Callithrix jacchus: one gene and its partners. The protein of the gene in region 3 purifies or fractionates together with the protein of the main gene of each other region. This does not show direct contact. Links are inferred from orthologs where the notes say so. Each region holds a gene or a part of one and is shown on either strand. Other genes may lie near its edges.

Region 1 (4,706 bases), on a different chromosome or scaffold from region 3:
CCAAACACAAAGGCTAATAGCAGTATTATGCATATAGTCAAAAGTAGAAACAACTAAAACATACATTAGCTAATAAATGGATAAAAATACTTTCATGTAACTATACAATAGAATATTATGTTCTAAAATTGTGAGTATTGCACATGTCTGTGAATATACTAAGACCCATTTCACTGCATTTTAAATAGATGAATTATATAGCATATAAACTGTATCTCAATAAAGTGATTAAAAAATGTTCTCGGTAATGAACTGCCTTTGCAGTTCCAAATGGCAAACTCACTTTTGCCATCACATAAATGGCACACATTAATAACTGGTCCAGATGTCGGTCCATCATAAGTTCAGGACACTGAATTATGGAGAATTCAAAGCAGGTCCAGATTTTTTTCCTCAGTTCATCTGAAATATCTAGTTTGGCACAGAGATCCCGAAGGCGTACACCTGCTAAATGGTATACCTAGGAGAGAAACAAAAACATTTCAAACTTTAACACTTATATTTCCCAAGCTCATGCTTCTGGTAAGGTTACGTGAAAAATTACCTTTCTAAAGAAAAGCGATAATGAGCTGGTTTTCCTGGGTCTATTACTGCTGCTGCTTACGGACTGGCCTTGCTTCTGCTGTTGGCCACCTGGGGAAATCTGTTGAATGGCCACTTGACCAGGGACTTGTAAAGTTGTTCCTGTCACTTGTTGAGAGCTCAGACTTCCAGCCAGGGCCTGAGCACTGAGGGGCTGGATGGAGCCTGTCACAGCTTGTGCCTGCCCCCCAACATTGACTTGGACTGGGTAGAATGTTATCCCTCCATTTTCATTGGCAATACCTAGTTTGTGACAGAAAAAAAGCTTGAAGAAAATGTTAATAAGGGGTTCTCCAGGCAAAGGTTTACAATTTCCCCTCTCTTAACCCCGCCCCCCATCACTCCTCTGTCCCCTGCGTCACTCTAGCCAAACCTTGGGTAACTTTTCAATACATGCCACAGAGAAGGAACTCAATATCCAGCTCTGCCTTCCTTACCTTGCACAGGAATGGTTACTGTTTGCCCATTGTTGGCAGTGACAGTGGCAGTCGCCATGGTGACCAAAGTTTGTCCAGGAACTGGTGTGACAGAAACAGGCTCCCCAGATACATTCTGCACAGGGACAGCATTGACTATTGGCTGTTGGGGCATGCGCCCAGGTGTCCCTCCATCAGAAGGGCTATCATTCTCAACAAATAGCCGCCTTCTGGTAGTGCTGGCTGGTGGTGAGCTGTACCTATCATATAATGTGGTTGGAGATGTTACACCTAGGGTCAAAACAAATCAAAGTATTTAACTCAAGGAGACTCAGATCTGACTTCCATCCAAGTTGTCAGGTTCAAAAATTACTACAGTGTTTGAAATTATGTTTTCATAAATCAAAAAGCAAACAAGAATTACAGAAGTCATATCTTACCTCCATTCCACTAATGAAAATTAGTGAATTTTCAAGAGCAAAATTTTAAAATGGAATTTTTTGTCTTGTAGTGTTCCTTTCTCCAATCCCCCTTTCCCTAATCAGACTCGACTCTGTCTTCCACTACTACAGAACCTTCATGATTTAGGGGCAATTTAAGGCATTCATTACCCTATTTCTCTGTATGACATTTTTCTGTAATAGATATGACTTTACTACAGAGCCACTACTTGACACGATTGGTAGTATGTCATCTAGGAGCATTCCCCCACCAGTTTTACCAATTTTTATCTTTGTCTTTTTCCACATATAAAATATTATTAAAACTCAATATACTTAAGGTGGACATGCATGACTTATGACTTGGATTCAATTAGGCATAGTTTATTTTTTAATCAGTTTTTTATAAACAAGGTGGACGTGCATGATTTGGATTCAATTAAGCATAGTTTATTTTTTTAAACAGTTTATATATCATAAATTTTATCCACTTAAATTGTACAATTCAATGGTTTGAGGTAAATCATTTTTATTTTTATTTTTTGAGACATAGAGTCTTACTCTGTCGCCCAGGCTAGAGTGTAGTGGTATGACCTCGGCTCACTACAACCTCTGCCTCCTGGGTTCAAGTGATTCATGTGCCTCGGCCTCCTGAATGACTGAGATTACAGGTGTATGCCACCATGCATGGCTAACTTTTTTTTGAGACAGAGTTTCGCTCTTGTTACCCAGGCTGGAGTGCAATGGCGCGATCTTGGCTCACCGTAACCTCCGCCTCCTGGGTTCAGGTAATTCTCCTGCCTCAGCCTCCTGGAGAGTAGCTGGGATTACAGGCACGAGCCACTATGCCCAGCTAATTTTTTGTATTTTTAGTAGAGACGGGGTTTCACCACGTTGACCAGGATGGTCTCAATCTCTTGAACTCGTGATCCACCCGCCTCGGCCTCCCAAAGTGCTGGGATTACAGGCTTGAGCCACCGCGCCCGGCCTAACTTTTGTATTTTTAGTAGAGATGGGGTTTCACCATGTTGGCCAGGCTGGTCTCAAACTCCTGACCTCAGGTGATCTGCCCACCTTGGCCTCCCAAAGTGCTGGTATTACAGGCTAGTTTTTTAACACTGTGGTAAAATATATATATATAATTTACCATTTTAACCAATTTTTATGTGTACGATTCAGTGGTATCAATCACATTTACAATATGGCAGAACAGTCACCACTATTTGTAAAACTTCATTACCTGAACAGCCCATTATGGCTTAGTCTGTTTTTAAGTATTCACACCAATGTCTGAATTTTTGAGAAGCATTCCTTCCTTCTTCTGTGTCCACCTCTAAAAGCTGTGTATCAGTTGTTTTTAAATTTTAAAATATATGTAGGAAGTTCGTAAGAGGTATTGATAGGAGTAAATCCTAATAAACTGCAGCTTAACATTTCTATTTCCAGATGACACAAAAGTAAGTCAAGTTACTAGATTTGTATTTGGTACAAAGCTGCAGAATCAGAAAGAATACATTATCATTTTTGTATAAAATATCAAGAGATCTCAGGAAAACTGAGAAGTGATAAGTGCAAAGAAAATGAAGTTTAAAGTTAAGTCCTCTTAATCTGTAAATAAGGGAAGGGAAAATTCTACAAAAATAGACTGAGAAAGACCAGCTGTCAGATCTTTCAAAAATGAGGACTTTTCATATGGATCATCCATGTGTATTAAGTATACACTGACTTAGAGTGATTTTTTTTTGTACAGATAGCATCTTGATATGTTGCCCAGAATGGTCTTGAACTCGTGGGTTCAAGCGATCCTCCCTACTAGGTCTCCCACAGTGCTCGGGTTACAGGCATGAGCTACCATGCCCATCCTAGAGTGATTCCTGACTTTATTTATTTAGAGACAGAGTCTCACTCTGTCGCCCAGGCTCAAGCGCAGTGGCCTGATTCAAGCTCACCACAACCTCCACCTCCGAGGTTCAAGCTATTCTCCTGCCTCAGCCTCCCAAGTAGCTGGGATTACACATGCCCGCCACCATGCCTGGCTAATTTTTTTTTTTATTTTTAGTAGAGACGAGGTTTCACCTTGTCGGCCAAGCTGGTCTCAAACTCCTGACTTCAGGTGATCCACCTGCCTTGGCCTCTCAAAGTGCTGGGATTACAGGCATAAGCCACGGCACCTGGCCGATTCCTGACATTAAAACTGGTATTTCTTCTACAGCCAGCTCTTATCAATTACATTATAAAACTGATCTAGAAATAAGAATATTCTTTTAATTGCATCCAAGGATTTAGAACTCTCTGGATTTACTGAATTGCTCTTTAAAAGGTAGTTCTATTTAAACTTCAACCTTTCATATTGCAGATCTTCCAAGCAGCTGCCTAAAAAGTATAAACCAGATGCACAGCAAAACTGCCCTTTTCTGTATTTCTTGGACCAGCACTAGTGTCACATTAACTAGGGTAGCACATCTCAACAGACCAAGTGGAACATACTCAGTAGTCTTAACTCACGGGTTTGTCTGTACCTAACTGGATCATGTAGCTCTGTCTTTAAGAAGGCATTTCTATTTCTCCTGTAATATGTATTTGCCGTAAAAATTTTACAGAATCACCAGGAATTCTATCAACCAACAATAATCTTAACAGTTTGGTTTTTCCATTTCCACCATTTTGTATGCTCATCGATAAACATACGCTTTAAAAAATACATACACAGCAGTCGGCTGGCTATGGTGACTCCTAGCACTTTGGGAGGCCAAGGCAGGCAGATCACCTGAGGTGAGGAGGTTGAGGCCAGTCTGGCCAACACGGCAAAACCCCTTCTCTACTAAATATATAAAAATTAGCCAGGCGTGCTGGCATGTGCCTGTAGTCCCAGCTACTTGGGAGGCTGAGGCACGAGAATCACTTGAACCCGGCAGGTGGAGGTTGCAGTGAGTGAGACTGCGCTACTACACTCCAGCCTGGGCCACAGAGTGAGACCCTGCTTGAAAAAATTTTAAAAATTAAAATTAAATAAATAAATAAATATAGCAGTCTATCCTTTTTAAAAGATGCCTGTTAAGATTCATTTTCCTGTATTTTTTTTTTTTTTTCATTTTCATTTTCCTGTATTCTTAATCTTTAAAGGCACTTCTTTTTTTTTTCTTTTGAGATGGAGTTTCGCTCTTGTTACCCAGGATGGAGTGCAATGGCGCGATCTCGGCTCACTGCAACCTCTGCCTCCTGGGATCAGGCAATTCTCCTGAGAGGCACTTCTTTTAAGTGATCCATG
Region 2 (4,706 bases), on a different chromosome or scaffold from region 3:
ATATTTTAGATATATTAATATTTACTAGTGTACTGGAGCTGGCTTGTACTGGAATGCACAAGAAAATTGTTAAGTATTCAGAAATTTTGTGAGCTGGTTGCTCCATATGTTGGTAGCTTGAAATTGACCACAGTAGCACCTGGTTACCTGGATAGCCAGTTCTGGAGTAATGAGATGAAGTGCCGCCAGTTAGGGCTTTCCTTCCCTTAAGAGCTGTTTGTGGAGCATTTACTTGCAAACCACTGGGTAGATTAAATAAGAGGGGGAGTACAAAGTGCTGGCACATGGCTGTGCTTCTAGCCATGGTTGAGTGTAGGTTAGTAGATATTCTCTGGAAAGAAAACTGTTCTTTAAAAAGAGGTGTAAAGAATATATATATGAGGCTGGGCGCAGTGGCTCACGCCTATAATCCTAGCACTTGGGGAGGCCGAGGCAGGTGGATCACAAGGTCAAGAGATGGAGACCATCCTGGTCAACATGGTGAAACCCCGTCTCTACTAAAAATACAAAAATTAGCTGGACATGGTGGTGCATGCCTGTAATCCCAGCTACTCAGCAGGCTGAGGCAGGAGAATTGCCTCAACCCAGGAGGCGGAGGTTGCGGTGAGCCAAGATCGTGCCATTGCACTCCAGCCTGGGTAAACAAGAGCGAAACTCCGCCTCAAAAAAAAAATCAATAAATAAAAAATAATATATACATGAGAGCTACTATTGGGCCTGTAATGAGAATTTGGATCTCTCATCCCAAAGGTCCTTCAAGCACAGCTGGAGAGGATTCCTTTAAGCCAGAGGTTGGCAAACTTTAACCCACGGGCCACACTTTGCCTGCTTACTGTTTTTTAAAATAATGTTTTATCAGAACAGTACTACACCCATTCTTTAGCATGTTGTCTGTGGATGCCTTTGCATTGTAGCAGCAGAAGGAGTAGTTGTGGCAAAGACCTTGTGGCTCACAACGTCTAAAATATTTTCTCTCTGGCCCTTCACAGCAAAGTTTGCTGGCCCCTAATCTATACTGAATGTCATCCATGTACACATGTCATACTCCAGTTTCTCAAAATGCTTTACCTGCCTTTTCTATCTTGTCTTTATAACTTGTACGTGTATGTGTCTCTGTGTATATGTGTGTGCACACGTGTGTATGTAGGACTCTGAGAATCCACAAATGTGTATCTTATTAGAACAAAGAAGAGAAGCTTGGATGTGTCCCATCCCCACGGTCTTGAGAGAATCCTCTGTGTAATTTTTTCCTGTCTCTTGCATCTCAGACCAATTTTCTGTCAGCACATTCAGCCAGGGATGAGGCGGCCAGGTTGGAAGAACGCAGGGGTGTAATTGAATTCCACGTAGTTGGCAATTCCCTCAACCAGAAACCAAACAAGAAGATCCTGATGTGGCTGGTCGGACTTCAGAACGTTTTCTCCCACCAGCTGCCCCGAATGCCAAAAGAATACATCACACGGCTTGTCTTTGACCCGTAAGTGGTACTTTCTGTGCCTTCTTCCTCATTTCCTTTTTAAATGAAAGAGGAACTGCTTAGATAGTGAAAGTCAGCCATAGTCATCCACCGAATACTGCTGCTCCTGTCTCGCTGTGGATACAGAACTACACCAGGCTAATTTTTATGTCTGAAAGTGCTAAGATTAATTTTCAGCAATTTATAAATTTTCTTGTTAATAATAAGCGTTATATTCCATCGCTGATGACTGTCCTGTGCTTCATTCTTTATAGCAGTGAGAGGTCGTAAACACTAAGATGTTCTACTTTTTTTCATAGTCAAAATATTGGTTTTGGTATCTTAACTAGGTACCATTATTGCCCAGGTCTGTGGGCAATTATTGGGATATAAGACAGGTTAACTTTGAAAATCCATTGCTTAAAAAAGAAAAATCCACAAAACCCCAAAGAACTAAATGTCATTAATTGAATTTATTTGAACATATATAGCCCAGTAGCCTATGGGGACTGTTATCTATGCCTGTGACAATTCAGAGTAATGCTTTAGACAGAGGGAAGGATTCCATACTGCAGAGTTTTGCAGATTGTATATGTAGATTTTTAACTTTTTTCATAATGTTTCTGTGATATATTGGAGTAAGACTTAACTCTGCAGAGACACATACCATGTTTGTCCATGACTTCCTGCTCCCTGACCCCTCCTTGGCACTGGATGTGCCAGTTCCAGAGCACATCTGCACATACTCTGTTCTCTATTTGTAAACCCCAGGCACTTCTTAGGTGACTGATATTTTGTTCTGATGGGAGTACCGATGACATCTTGTGCAGGCAAGCTTGCTTTAAAAAGTTCAGATAAAAGAATGGTCTAGCAAGATAGGGTCTACATGAAGGAAATTTTTATAGAAACTTAGGACATATAGCTCTTTCTTAGTTGGTTAATAAGGAATACCCCAAAAAGTATATTTATATAACTAGGATAGGTAAAACTTTGACATAATCTTATTCTTTCAGGAAACACAAAACCCTTGCTTTAATTAAAGATGGCCGTGTCATTGGTGGTATCTGTTTCCGTATGTTTCCATCTCAAGGATTCACAGAGATTGTCTTCTGTGCTGTAACCTCAAATGAGCAAGTCAAGGTAAGGGTAACCCAAGGTCTTAGAAGAAAAGCAGGATGTGGGGCTTCTTACTAAGGCTGCAGGGCTTGGGAAGATCTTTCTGTGCCATGTCCAGAGAAGGTTGAAAGTGGAGTTAAGGACTTTCTGGGAATAGTCCTCTCACTCCAGCCATCTCCAGCCTTTTCGGTACCAGGGACTGGTTTCGCAGAAGACAGTTTTTCCACAGGCTGTTTTGGGATGAAACTTCTTCACCTCCGATTATCAGGCATTAGTTAGATTCTCATAAGGACCATGCAACCCAGATCCCTAGCATGTGCAGTTCATAATAGGGTTCATGCTCCAAGGAGAGTCTAGTGCCACCACTGGTCTGACAGGAGGCAGAGCCCAGGCAGTAATGCTCACTTGCCTGCTGTTCACCTCTTGCTGTGTGGCCTGTTCCCTAACAGGCCATGGACTGGTAATGGTCTAGGGGTTGGGGACCTCTGTCTCACTCTGAGTGTTTGTGTATATGTGTGAGGAGAATAAATGGTTTCACCTACCAACAAGTAGGGTTGTACCAAGGCTTTGTTGGACTTTGTGGCAAGGTATCAGGATACTGTACAAGTTCAATATGTAACTCAAGTGTAGTCTCTAGCAAATGAAGGGATATTTGAAAATAAATCTCGGTGTTCATTGTTAAATTTACACACACACACAAACATGTACACACAATTAGTGACACTGAACTACTGGAAAGGGTATGGTTAATGTGGATTAGAAAGGTGATTTAGGCAGCGTACATTTCAGAAAGATTTCTTATGACCTTGTCCCTCAAGGAAGACAAGGACTAAAGAAATTCGATAAGGGAAACCATGTAGATTTATGAATAAATTTCAGTAGCTATTCCTGTAGGGTTTGGCATGTGTTGGAGTGTCTTTTTGTTTTGTTTTTGTTCTAATTTACCTTCCCCATTGTCTTTGGCATAGGTGCCTTCCTTTCCGGGAACTGTGTCTGTGTTTTATTGGTATTGCAGTTGGTGTCGCAGTCTGGCAGGAATAAACCAGACTCTAAATTGACAGAAAGAGCTCGCGTCTAGACTTTGTCCTATTCTACTTTCTTGCTTTTAAGAAAAGAGAACCAGAGAACATGGCCCTAGAATGTTATTCATTTAGGGCTGAGCACAGTGGCTCACACCTGTAATCTCAGCACTTTGGGAGGCCAAGGCAGGTGGATCTCCTGAAGTCAAGAGTTTGAGACCTGTCTGACTAACATGGTGAAACCCCATCTCTACTAAAAATACAAAATTAGCTGGGTGTGTTGGCACATGTCTATGATCCCAGCTGCTTGGGAGGCTGAGGCAGGAAAATCACTTGAACCCAGAAGGCAGAGGTTGCAAGATCGTGCCACTGCACTCCACTCTGGGAAATAAGAGCGAAACTCCATCTGAAAAAAAAAAAAAAGAATGTTATTCATTTAGGATTTCATGGGCGGACTAAAGATTAGCAGCTCAGGATAAAGATGGATGCTGAGAAAAATTAGTGGAAGGTCTAAAGCAATGTGTCCAATAGAAATATAAGGCAACTTGCAAATAAGAGGTTATAAAAGCACATATATATGTGCTTTTAAATTTTCTAGTGGTTATTTTTTTTAAAAAAGCAAGTGGAATCCAGTGAGATTATTTTGGAATTTTTTTCTTTTTTTTTTTTTTTGAGACAGAGTCTCGCTCTGTTGACAGGTGCCAGGCTGGAGTGCAGTGGCTCAATCTTGGCTCACTGCAACCTCTGCCTCTTGGGTTCAAGCAATTCTGCTGCCTCAGCCTCCTGAGTAGCTGGGACTACAGGCCTGTGCCACCACGCCTAGCTAATTTTTGTATTTTTTAGTAGAGATGGGATTTCACCATGTTGGCCAGGATGATCTTGATCTCTTGACCTCGTGATCCGCCCGTCTTGGCCTCCCAAAGTGCTGGGATTATAGTGTGAGCCACTGTACCCGGCCTGTTTTATTTTACCCATATATATCCAAAGTGTATTATTAATATAACTGCAACTGACATTCAGTGTCACAAAGAATTATGACATTTTACATAACATTCTTGGTTCTGTACTTTTTTTTTTGGAGACAGGGTCACACTGTTGCCCAGGCTAGAGTGCAA
Region 3 (4,706 bases):
CCACACCCCTCCTCCCCTATGCTGATTCCCCAGGCTCGCCAAAGAGGCCTCGATAAATAAATAACGCTCCATTAAAGCTTCAATCAGAAAAAACCTTTAAGACAGAAGTGCTCTCGCCGTCCTACAAGCCCAGCCAGCCAAAGCCTCCCCACCTGGCCTGGTCAGAGCGCCGGATTCTCGGAGCAGGCACTATGCTGGGCCTTGTGGGACCCCCAGAGCAAAAGGGCCGAAAGTGCAGTTAGAGCCCCCCACGCGCACACATGGACTCATGCACACACATGTGGACACACTGGGGCGTGTCTGCAGTGCACACACAGAGGTGTATATTCACCTTCATTCCCCGGTACATGCACACACACATGCTCACACACCACATTCACCCCAGGTACACACGTGTGGGTGTAGGCTGCATGCACATACACACCACAAACAGACTCCTTCCCTTCCTGGCTTGCTCAGCCTCCTAGCGGTAGCCAGACCCCAGAGCTAGAAGCTACTGGAGACAGGAGAGAGGGGTATAAATTAAATGTTTCCGATCAGGCTGGGAGGATGGCCAGGGACAGGAGGCTCCAGGGCTGCAGAGACAGTGAGCATCTCTGGAAACGCTGGTCCCTCCAAGCCCCATCAGAAATCGAGGGGGGTGAAGTCCCCAAAGTCACAGTCGAAGAGGTCTCTGATGCCCTCGCCCTCCTCGAGGCCGAAGTGGTAGTCGAGGCCCTCATGGGGTGGGGAAAGGCTGATGAACTCCTCAGGGAGGAGGCCGGAGAAGTCCTCCCGCACATGCTCCAGGAGCGAGTCGGCTGCCACCAGCGGGGACAGGCGGTCCTCGTCCATGGGAGCCCGTAGGCTGCCCATCCGGGACAACAGTGGTTCTGGGGAGACGGGGAGCATCACAGGCCGGGGATGCCCCAGCAGGGAGGAAGACAGGGGCTGTCGTGCCTGCCCGCCCCCCAGAAGAGTGGCCCTTTCCCACCCCACCCACCTACCCATCACCCACCTTGCTCCAGGCTGAGCAGAGACTGGCTGGGATCTGTGGCGAAGGATGAGTGGGGAGATGATGATGGTGGCGGCACTATGGTGGCAGAGTCAGAGGCCCTGTTCTCCTCCACAGAAGCAGCCTCCCGGGACGGGGACGGGGTCTTCCCAGGGCTGATCCCACCCACAGTCTCCTCAGGGCACAGGAAAACATCGATGGGGCCTTGTTTGCTCTTAAGAGAGATCTGAAATGTCTGGGTGGAAGCAGCAGGCAGGGTAAACTGAGGCCCAGGTGACCCCAAGCCCAGCCCAGCCCAGCCCAGTTGGGCCTAGAGTTTCCAGATCTCACCTCCGAAGAGTCCACAGCTTGGAGCTGGGTCTCAGGAGGAGCCTTGATCACCATAACCATCTGCTCTGCAGGGTCTGCAATGCTACGAAGATCCTGGCACGTCACATAGGCCAGGGTTGGCAGAGTCAAGGACCACAGGAACTTTGACTTCTGAGGGTCACTCACTCCAGCAACTCACAAAGGACCTTCACAAGGCAGGGCTCACACCTCCCTAGTCACTCCTGTCTTCTCAACCCCCCCATCTGCTCAAAAGCCACCTCATTCCCAAGTTTCAAGTTCCACATCTGTACAATGGAACTATTCTACCAACTGAATCCCAAAGTAATGATGATGGCTACCAGGAACAATTCCATGTAAAATGCTCAACACAACTGCAGGCCTGCTGCTGGGAACTTATTATTTAGTTTTTAGAAGCAGGTTCTCACTATGTCACCCAGGCTGGAGTGCTGTAGCTCAACCAGAGCTCACTGCAGCCTCAAACTCCTGGGCTCAAGTGATCCTCCCACCTCAGCCTCCTGAAGCACTAGGATTACAGGCAGGAGCCACCCCAGCCACTTTTCTGCTTTAATCTGTACAATTTCAGAATTGGATATTATTATCCCCCTTTTATAGCTAAAACTGAGGCCCAGAGAGGTTAAGCAATTTATCCAGTGTCACACAATGAGAAAATGCTGAGCCAGAACTTGCAACCAAAACCAGCATCCTCTCCGGAATCCAGGGCCCAGGGTAGCCTCTCTAGTCCCACTTGGGTGGGACCCCTGCGCACTAAGCCTGCCTTCCACACCCCCGGCCAGTCCAAGGATATCGCTGGCTGTCAGTGTCCTCGGAGAGCAGGCGCAGCTGCGTAGTACAGATATTCATCAGGTGGTCCAGCTGCTGCTCACTCTCCTGCAGCTGCCGGAGGTCCTGGGTCAGCCCCTCAAGCCGCCCACCAACACCCACTGTGGTGTGGCTGCCCCTGTGGGGAGGCACCAGGGAGGGTAGGGTTAGCATCGTCTGGCCCCTCTGGCGCTCAGGACCCCATCTGCTGCTGCCTCTGTTCTGCGAGGCCCAGGCAAGCCCTTGCTTCTCTCTGGGTCTGGCTCCTCAGCTGGGATCCAAATCAGTGTGTCATGGGCTTGAAGTCTGGCCCGAATATTTATAAACACCTACATGTCCCTCAACCAGGGCAGGATAAATAAATGATGGCATCGACATGTCATGAAACATTACAGTTGTATAAAAGGATGAGCATGCTCTAGACACATACATACAAGCATTTCCAAGTCATGCTGTCAAATTAAAAAAAAAAAAAAAATGGGCTGGGCTTGGTGGCTCACACATAATCCCAGCACTTTGGGAAGCTGAGGTCAGAGGATGTACTGCTTGAGCCTCAGGAGTTTAAACCAGCCTGGGCAATACTGTGAGACCCCACCTCTACACAAAATTAAAGAAATTAGCCAGGCATGGTGGCATGTACTTGTAGTCCTAGCTACAGGTACAAGGATTGAGCCCAGGAGGTTGAGGCTGCAGTGAGCTCTACTTGTGCCTCCAGACTCCAGTCTGGGTGACAGAGCAATACCCTGTCTCAAACTGCCCCCCACCCCCTCAAAAAAACATAAAAGATGTAGAATGGAACAATCTACCAAAAAATGAAAAGGCAGGTGTATCAAAGAGAGGGTAGCAGGATGACTAGGGCAAAGGCAAGAAGGGGAAAATAAAACAAGTACAAAAAGAAAACATCCGTGCCAGACAAATCTTACCGAGGGCATAAGACACCAGAAGAGTGGTCACCTGGTGGTGTGAGGGGTTGGCAGTGACTGGAAAGGGGCACAAGAGAACCTTCTGGGGTGTTGGAAATGCTTCTATCTTGATCTGAATGGTGGTAACCCAGATGAATAAATATGTAAAGCTCTGCTGGGCACAGTGGCTCACGCCTATAATCCCAGCACTCTGGGAGGCCAAGGCAGGCAGATTACCTCAGATCTGGAGTTTGAGACCAGCCTGGCCAACATGGTGAAACCCTGTCTCTACTAAAAATACAAAAATTAGCCGGGCGTAGTGGTAAGTGCCTATAACCCCAGCTACTTGGGAGGCTGAGGCAGAAGAATCACTTGAACCTGGGAAGTGGTGGTTGCAGTGAGCTGAGATGACGCCACTGCACTCCAGCCTGGGCGACAGAGTGAAACTCCATCTTAAAAAATTAAATAAATAAATAAAGCTGTAACTGAGCTGGATATGTAAGATTTGTGTGCTTTTTAGCATCTATCATCTCAGGGAAGCTACCTCTCTTCCCTGAGCCCGTTTCCCCAGCTGTAACATGTGGATGCAGACAGCCCACAGTGGGTACTGCTACAGTTCCTCCAGGCTGGCATGGGCAGGTGTGCCTGCCCTCCTGTGTGGCCGGTACCTACAGCCACTGGATGTGGTTCTTGGACTTCTTGGCAATGAGCTGGATGCCCTCGAGGACATTGGTGATGTCATAGATGCGCCGCTTCTGCACTTTGAGCACCTCGGCAGCCCAGTTCAGGTCGACAACACCGTCAGCAGAGCGGCTCAGCAGCTCCAGGAAGCGCTTGGTGGTCAGATTCAGTGAGGTCTCATAGCGTGACTTCTCCCCCGGGGATTTCACACCTGTAAGGGTGTGGTCAAGCAAGTAGGGCCCTCCAGCATCCACCCCACCTCCAGCCAGGCCTGCCTCTGTGGCAGTGCAGGACAGCAGGATGATGGGGGCCGGGGGACAGCCAGCCCCTTCCCCTTGGTGAGGTCAACCACAGCATTCTTATTCTGACTGGGGAACTCCTCAACCCTCAGGGCTGGGGTAAACCAAGCCAGGCAGCGACTCCAGCTGCCCATCAGGGTCCCCAGAGGCCTGGCTCAAGCCCAATGAACCAAGACGTTAGCCTGAAAGCATGTTTGTTTGTTCACACCCCCAACCCGGGCCTGGTCACAGGGGGCCTGCCCAGCCCAAGCTCCGTGGGTACCTTTTCCTTGATGGCGGCCTCTGCCCCGAGCTGGCCCACTGCTTTCAGCCAGGTACTGATGGTCAGTTTCCAGGTCCAGCCTCCGCTTCACCTGTAGTGAAAACAATGGGAGGATGCCCAGTAACCAGGAGTGATGCCAGAAGAGACCTGGCTGAGGGCTAGGCACCTCTGGGTTACCCCCACCTCAGTTTCTGTAGCAGGATGCCTGACTGTGTGACTGAGGGAGATCAGAGGGGACACAGCCTGAGAGTCATAGTCCTTCCACACAGGACACTCAACCGCAGAAGGCAGAAGACCTGAGCTCAAGTCCCAGCTCCATCACTACTTCTCTGGGGTCTCGTGGTGGATTTAAAACACATCTGCAAACTTTTTGATCCTTCTCCTTCAAAAGATGAAGCCTAATAATCCTCCCTGTATGA
Region 4 (4,706 bases), on a different chromosome or scaffold from region 3:
TGTCTCTTAAGGGAAAAAAAAAATTAGTAGGCTGGGCTGTAAGTGAGGAAATGCCATTGCTGAGGAATGTCAGGTCCATGCAGCAGTGACCCAGTGTTGAAGGATAGTTTGTGAATTTCCTTGTTTTTAGAAAATGGCTTGTTTGATTTGAGAAGAATAAACCAGGTTGACATCTCTTTTCTAGTTTTTAACCTACCTTTCTAGTTGCTCTTTGCATAGAAATCAAGGTTAGTAGTCACAGGCTGGTTGAGTTCTAACTCACTGGTGTGGTATGGCCACGACTGGCTGTTCTGTTTTTCTCCTTCTTCACTTTAATTTTTTTTTTTTTTTTTTTTTTTTTGTAGGTTCTGCAGCACATATTGAATCCTGCTTTCTTATACAGCTTTGAGAAGGGGGAAGGAGAGCAGCTATTGGGACCTCCCAATCCAGAAGGAGATAACCCAGAAAGCATCACCAGTGTGTTTATTACCAAGGTGGTATAACTACGCGCATGGGCGTGAGAAGTAACCGGTCAGATGAACGAATGTCTGTGTGTGTGTTGTTTGTTTTCTTAACGCATTTATTTTTCATGATTGTGTTAATTTATAGCAGACCATCACATTACAATTCTTAGTAGTGAGTTTTTGAAGGCAGCCTTACTTTGGAATGAATTAACCTCCCACATTAATAGATTCTAATCAGAAACGAAATGTATCTTGATGAAAGTTCATGTAGCAGTTATTTTGTGAAAACCCTTGTTGCCAGTCAGCAGAATTTCTGTGTTCTGTTTTCATCTCCAGTTTTGCGAAAGAATCTCCTAATAGCCAGTGAGCCTATGAGACTGTCTGCAGTTCCTGCTGCAACTCCTTCTTGCCAAGTTATGAAACCCTGTGGCAGCTGTAGTCTAGTCTGAAACAAGCTCAGGTTTTAACACCTCTGTACATTTTTACAATGGCTTTACAGTTTGTATTAGAGAGAGTTTTTTGAATTAAATGCCTGTGTTCTGTCATTGTCCCAATACTCACTATATTGATGCTCACCGTTAAAGGTAGTGTTTGCCTTGAGATTCTCGCATTGGGTGTGTGTTGGAATGCTTAGTGAATATTTTCCTCATTAGAAATACAGATGGCTGGTTTTCTTATCCATTTTGTCCTGGGGTCAAGGCAGAGGGGACTGTTGTTTCCATTGGCAGATTCCCGGACCTTAAATAGTGTTTGTCCTTTCAGACAGGCCGCCTTCCTGCAGTGTTGACATCCCACTCTGGGATCAGAGCCAGGCCAGGGGGTTGTTCTTGGTCCCCTTACTGTTATTTGCCTTATTCTGGGCAAGTGTAGGGAGATGGGGCCCAGAAGGACCCCTTCTCCTTTGTCGTCTTCTTCAGGTTGTGCCTCCTGGGTCACATACTGCTGCTAGGGGACTTTGAATGTCAGGATGAGGAGAAAACGAGCTGGCAGACTGGAGTCTGGGGATGCAGGTGTGGGGCTGCCAAGAAGCAGTACATCCAGGGAAGAGAGGACCTTGGGCGGGACTAAAAGGGACCTTGATGAAAACATGATTATCATGGAAGACGTCGGTCTTTCTGTTTTCAGTAGTATTAAGGCCTGGTAGACAGACAGTGGTTAGGATACTTGGTTGAATTGAATGATGCCACCATTATACTTGATTTAGTAGAGACGTGTAGAATATTCCTCAAAGAAGGTACATTTTTTCTTACGTCCATGAAACAATTAAATTATCTGTCAGATGCTTTCAAAACTGTAACAGTTTTTTGGAAGTTGACATTTTTCCAGGTCACATTTTCTAATCATGCAGCAGAAAAATAAGGAACAGACAAAAGTTGACCAGGAAAAAAAAAATCTCAACTACTTGGAAATTAAGAAACTCAGTCCTAAGTCACCTTGAATCAAAGTCTTCCTTTCCACCTCGCCTTCCTCCAGCCCTGTGTCCTGACTCTTAAGCCTCCCCTTTTTTAAATGTTGAAATGAATTTGGTGAATTTCTAATCGATATGTAAACCAAAAAGTCTCTGAGATGGATCTCAATCATTTTAGAAATTTATTTTGCCGAAGTTAAGGATGTGTCTGGGAGAGAGGTTTGTGTCCTACTTTAAAGATGGTTTTGAGGACTGCAGTATTTGAAGGGGAAAATTGGGCTGAAGGAGAAAGAGGGAGGGTGTGGTCATCCACACATTGCAAAAGAAGGGGAGCAGGTAGGGGAACAGGCAGTTCTGTGTTCGTCTCACGCTTAGGAAGTCAGAACTTTATGGAAGATATGGTGAACATGGAGCTGATACCTGTGGTGATCATTAACCTTTTATCTTTAGCTCTGCTTAGGAACAAAAGGAGAGCCAGTTTCTTGCATGACTCAACTTTCGGCTTAATTTTTTCCACTGGGCAGAGCAAATTGGGATCCTAAGGTTTTTTTCCTCCTTTCACATACATATGAAGGAAGATGGATAGGATGTTATTGATTACCTCATTGTAATATTTCATGTTACATACTCTGTGTGTGTGTGTGTGTGTGTGTGTGTGTGTGTGTGTGTATTTTTAAGGCTTAAACCTGTTGTATGACCCTCAGTGAGTGTATGTGTGTCTGTGTGTGTCTGTGTTTAAGCCTTGTTGTATGACCCTCAGTCAGTAACGCAGTTCACAGCTGGAAATGAGTCCTTCCCACTGTCCCCGTGCAGGTCCTGGACCCCGAGAAGCAGGCAGACATGCTGGACTCGCTGCGGATCTACCTGCTGCAGTACGCCACCCTGCTGGTGGAGCACGCCCCGCACCACATCCACGACAATAACAAGAACCGCAATAGCAAGCTTCGCCGCCTCATGACCTTCGCCTGGCCCTGCCTACTCTCCAAGGCCTGTGTGGACCCGGCCTGCAAGTACAGCGGACACTTGCTCCTGGCACACATTATTGCCAAATTCGCCATCCACAAGAAGATCGTCCTGCAGGTATTTTGCAACTCCCCTCCTGTCCTCCATGTGGATCCCATGCTGTGCGCTTGACTCCCTGGCGCAGTGTCAGCCTCCCTGCTGTCTTTTCCCGATATCAGTAAAAACCACGAAAACACAGACACTATATGATTGATTCCACTTAGAAGACCCTAGGGCACTTAAATTCAGAGAGACAAAAAGAGACTGCGGCGGGGCCGGGCCAGGAAGAGGGGGTGGGGAACGCATGCTGACTGGGTGCAGAGTTTCAGCCTGGGAAGAAGCATGCGTTCTGCAGGTGATGGGGCTCGTGGCTGCACCCCCCATGAAGGTGCCTGGCGCCACTGGGCTGTGCACCCACAAATGGGGATGATGGTATATTCTGTGTTTTGTGTGTTTTACTACAATAACAGGAAATTTGAGGGGAAAATAACCCACACTGTGACTATCCATGCTCTCCCTTCCTCATTCCGACTCTGCTCTCTCATTCCTCGATGGCTTTGCTTTTTAAAGGAAATGCCACCTTTTCCATCTCACGCTTCTCTGGCAATTGCATTCTGGCCTCTGACCCTGACATTCCATGGCACAAATTATAAATATTCAAGGGCCTCAGCCCAGTTCTCTTTGCTAAAGACAGTAGGTACTTTTGGATCTGTATCTCATGGGCCTGCTGCTGTGCAGCTGGTATTAAGCGTCTCTTCATGGTGTCGCTTGGTGGTTTGGGCTCTGAGGTTGGGCACCGCGGGTTTGAGTGTTCTTTCCTCTGCTCACACGGTCTGTGCCCTTGGGCAAGTTAATGTCTCTGTGTGAGAATTAAATGTAGTATTACACTCGAGTGCTCAGCATTTGATCACTGATAGCTCCTGTCTTCTGTGAGACCATCTTTGATGGGCTTTCCCCTGATGTGTTTCTCCTGTGAACCTTTGTGGTGTTGAACTCTGGACCCCGATCAAGCCAGGAGCCTCTCACATCCCTCCCATGGCCCCTTGAGCTAGAACTCCAGCCTCGGGACTTCACTGCTCCCCCCCAGTTTCAAACACCCAGGGACTTTTGACCTTCTCTCCTCCTCCCCAGGGCCCACGCACCAGGAGGTTCTGCAGCTTCTAACACCCACCCTGTTCCACCCCAGGACTGTCTTTCTGTGTTCTGTGACCTCACCTCACTTGAACGACTGCAACTGCCATTTTGCAGCACCTCTCCTGCTAGCCCTGTTCACTTTATTTCCCACCCGAAGCTAGAGGGAGATGAGCCATATTCCTCCCTAACTCTGCTGGTTAGACGGGACACAGGATCCCTGCAGAGAGCTGGGTCTTATCTGTCTGCATGCCCCAGCCTAGTTCAGCACGGGCACATAGCAGGTGCTTTGTAAATACTAGAATGGATGTATTCATTGGTCAAAACTAAACAAAACAGAAAGCAACTAAGTTGTTTCCTAATTAGAAAGTCCTAAGAAATGTTTTAAAAAATTGTTTTGGAAAAATACCATGCCTTGATCCCAATGGATTGTTTGTGTTTTCCTGTTTTTTAAAGCCTTCCTTCTCCTCTTCCATTAAGTGTCTCTTCCCTCTTTTAGGTCTTCCATAGTCTCCTCAAGGCTCATGCAATGGAAGCTCGAGCAATCGTCAGACAGGCGATGGCCATTCTGACCCCGGCAGTGCCGGCCAGGATGGAGGACGGGCACCAGATGCTAACCCACTGGACCCGGAAGATCATCGTGGAGGAGGGGCACACTGTCCCACAGCTGGTGCACATTCTGCACCTGATAGTGCAGCACTTCAAGGTGTGTGGGAGGGATG

The links. The genes of interacting proteins can lie anywhere in the genome.
Region 1: the proteins of E2F1 (region 3) and RBL2 purify together in Homo sapiens (affinity purification with western blotting; 3 studies listed by BioGRID and IntAct, with this or other methods). This does not show direct contact. The link is inferred for Callithrix jacchus from reciprocal best matches to the Homo sapiens genes E2F1 and RBL2.
Region 2: the proteins of E2F1 (region 3) and KAT2B purify together in Homo sapiens (affinity purification with western blotting; 5 studies listed by BioGRID and IntAct, with this or other methods). This does not show direct contact. The link is inferred for Callithrix jacchus from reciprocal best matches to the Homo sapiens genes E2F1 and KAT2B.
Region 4: the proteins of E2F1 (region 3) and TRRAP purify together in Homo sapiens (affinity purification with western blotting; 3 studies listed by BioGRID and IntAct, with this or other methods). This does not show direct contact. The link is inferred for Callithrix jacchus from reciprocal best matches to the Homo sapiens genes E2F1 and TRRAP.

What each region holds. Positions count from the first base shown.
Region 1 is NC_133521.1:11,390,142-11,394,847, reverse strand, and holds part of RBL2 (retinoblastoma-like protein 2), read right to left. Parts: intron 1,290-4,706; coding exon 1,020-1,289; intron 826-1,019; coding exon 545-825; intron 461-544; coding exon 284-460; intron 1-283. UniProt on the Homo sapiens protein: Key regulator of entry into cell division. Directly involved in heterochromatin formation by maintaining overall chromatin structure and, in particular, that of constitutive heterochromatin by stabilizing histone methylation.
Region 2 is NC_133518.1:58,632,338-58,637,043, forward strand, and holds part of KAT2B (histone acetyltransferase KAT2B), read left to right. Parts: intron 1-1,268; coding exon 1,269-1,477; intron 1,478-2,469; coding exon 2,470-2,596; intron 2,597-4,706. UniProt on the Homo sapiens protein: Functions as a histone acetyltransferase (HAT) to promote transcriptional activation. Has significant histone acetyltransferase activity with core histones (H3 and H4), and also with nucleosome core particles.
Region 3 is NC_133506.1:5,619,827-5,624,532, reverse strand, and holds part of E2F1 (transcription factor E2F1), read right to left. Parts: intron 4,379-4,706; coding exon 4,288-4,378; intron 3,938-4,287; coding exon 3,718-3,937; intron 2,283-3,717; coding exon 2,130-2,282; intron 1,440-2,129; coding exon 1,325-1,439; intron 1,230-1,324; coding exon 998-1,229; intron 873-997; coding exon 625-872; 3' UTR 1-624. UniProt on the Homo sapiens protein: Transcription activator that binds DNA cooperatively with DP proteins through the E2 recognition site, 5'-TTTC[CG]CGC-3' found in the promoter region of a number of genes whose products are involved in cell cycle regulation or in DNA replication.
Region 4 is NC_133503.1:14,643,305-14,648,010, reverse strand, and holds part of TRRAP (transformation/transcription domain-associated protein), read left to right. Parts: intron 1-344; coding exon 345-473; intron 474-2,664; coding exon 2,665-2,931; intron 2,932-4,483; coding exon 4,484-4,690; intron 4,691-4,706. UniProt on the Homo sapiens protein: Adapter protein, which is found in various multiprotein chromatin complexes with histone acetyltransferase activity (HAT), which gives a specific tag for epigenetic transcription activation.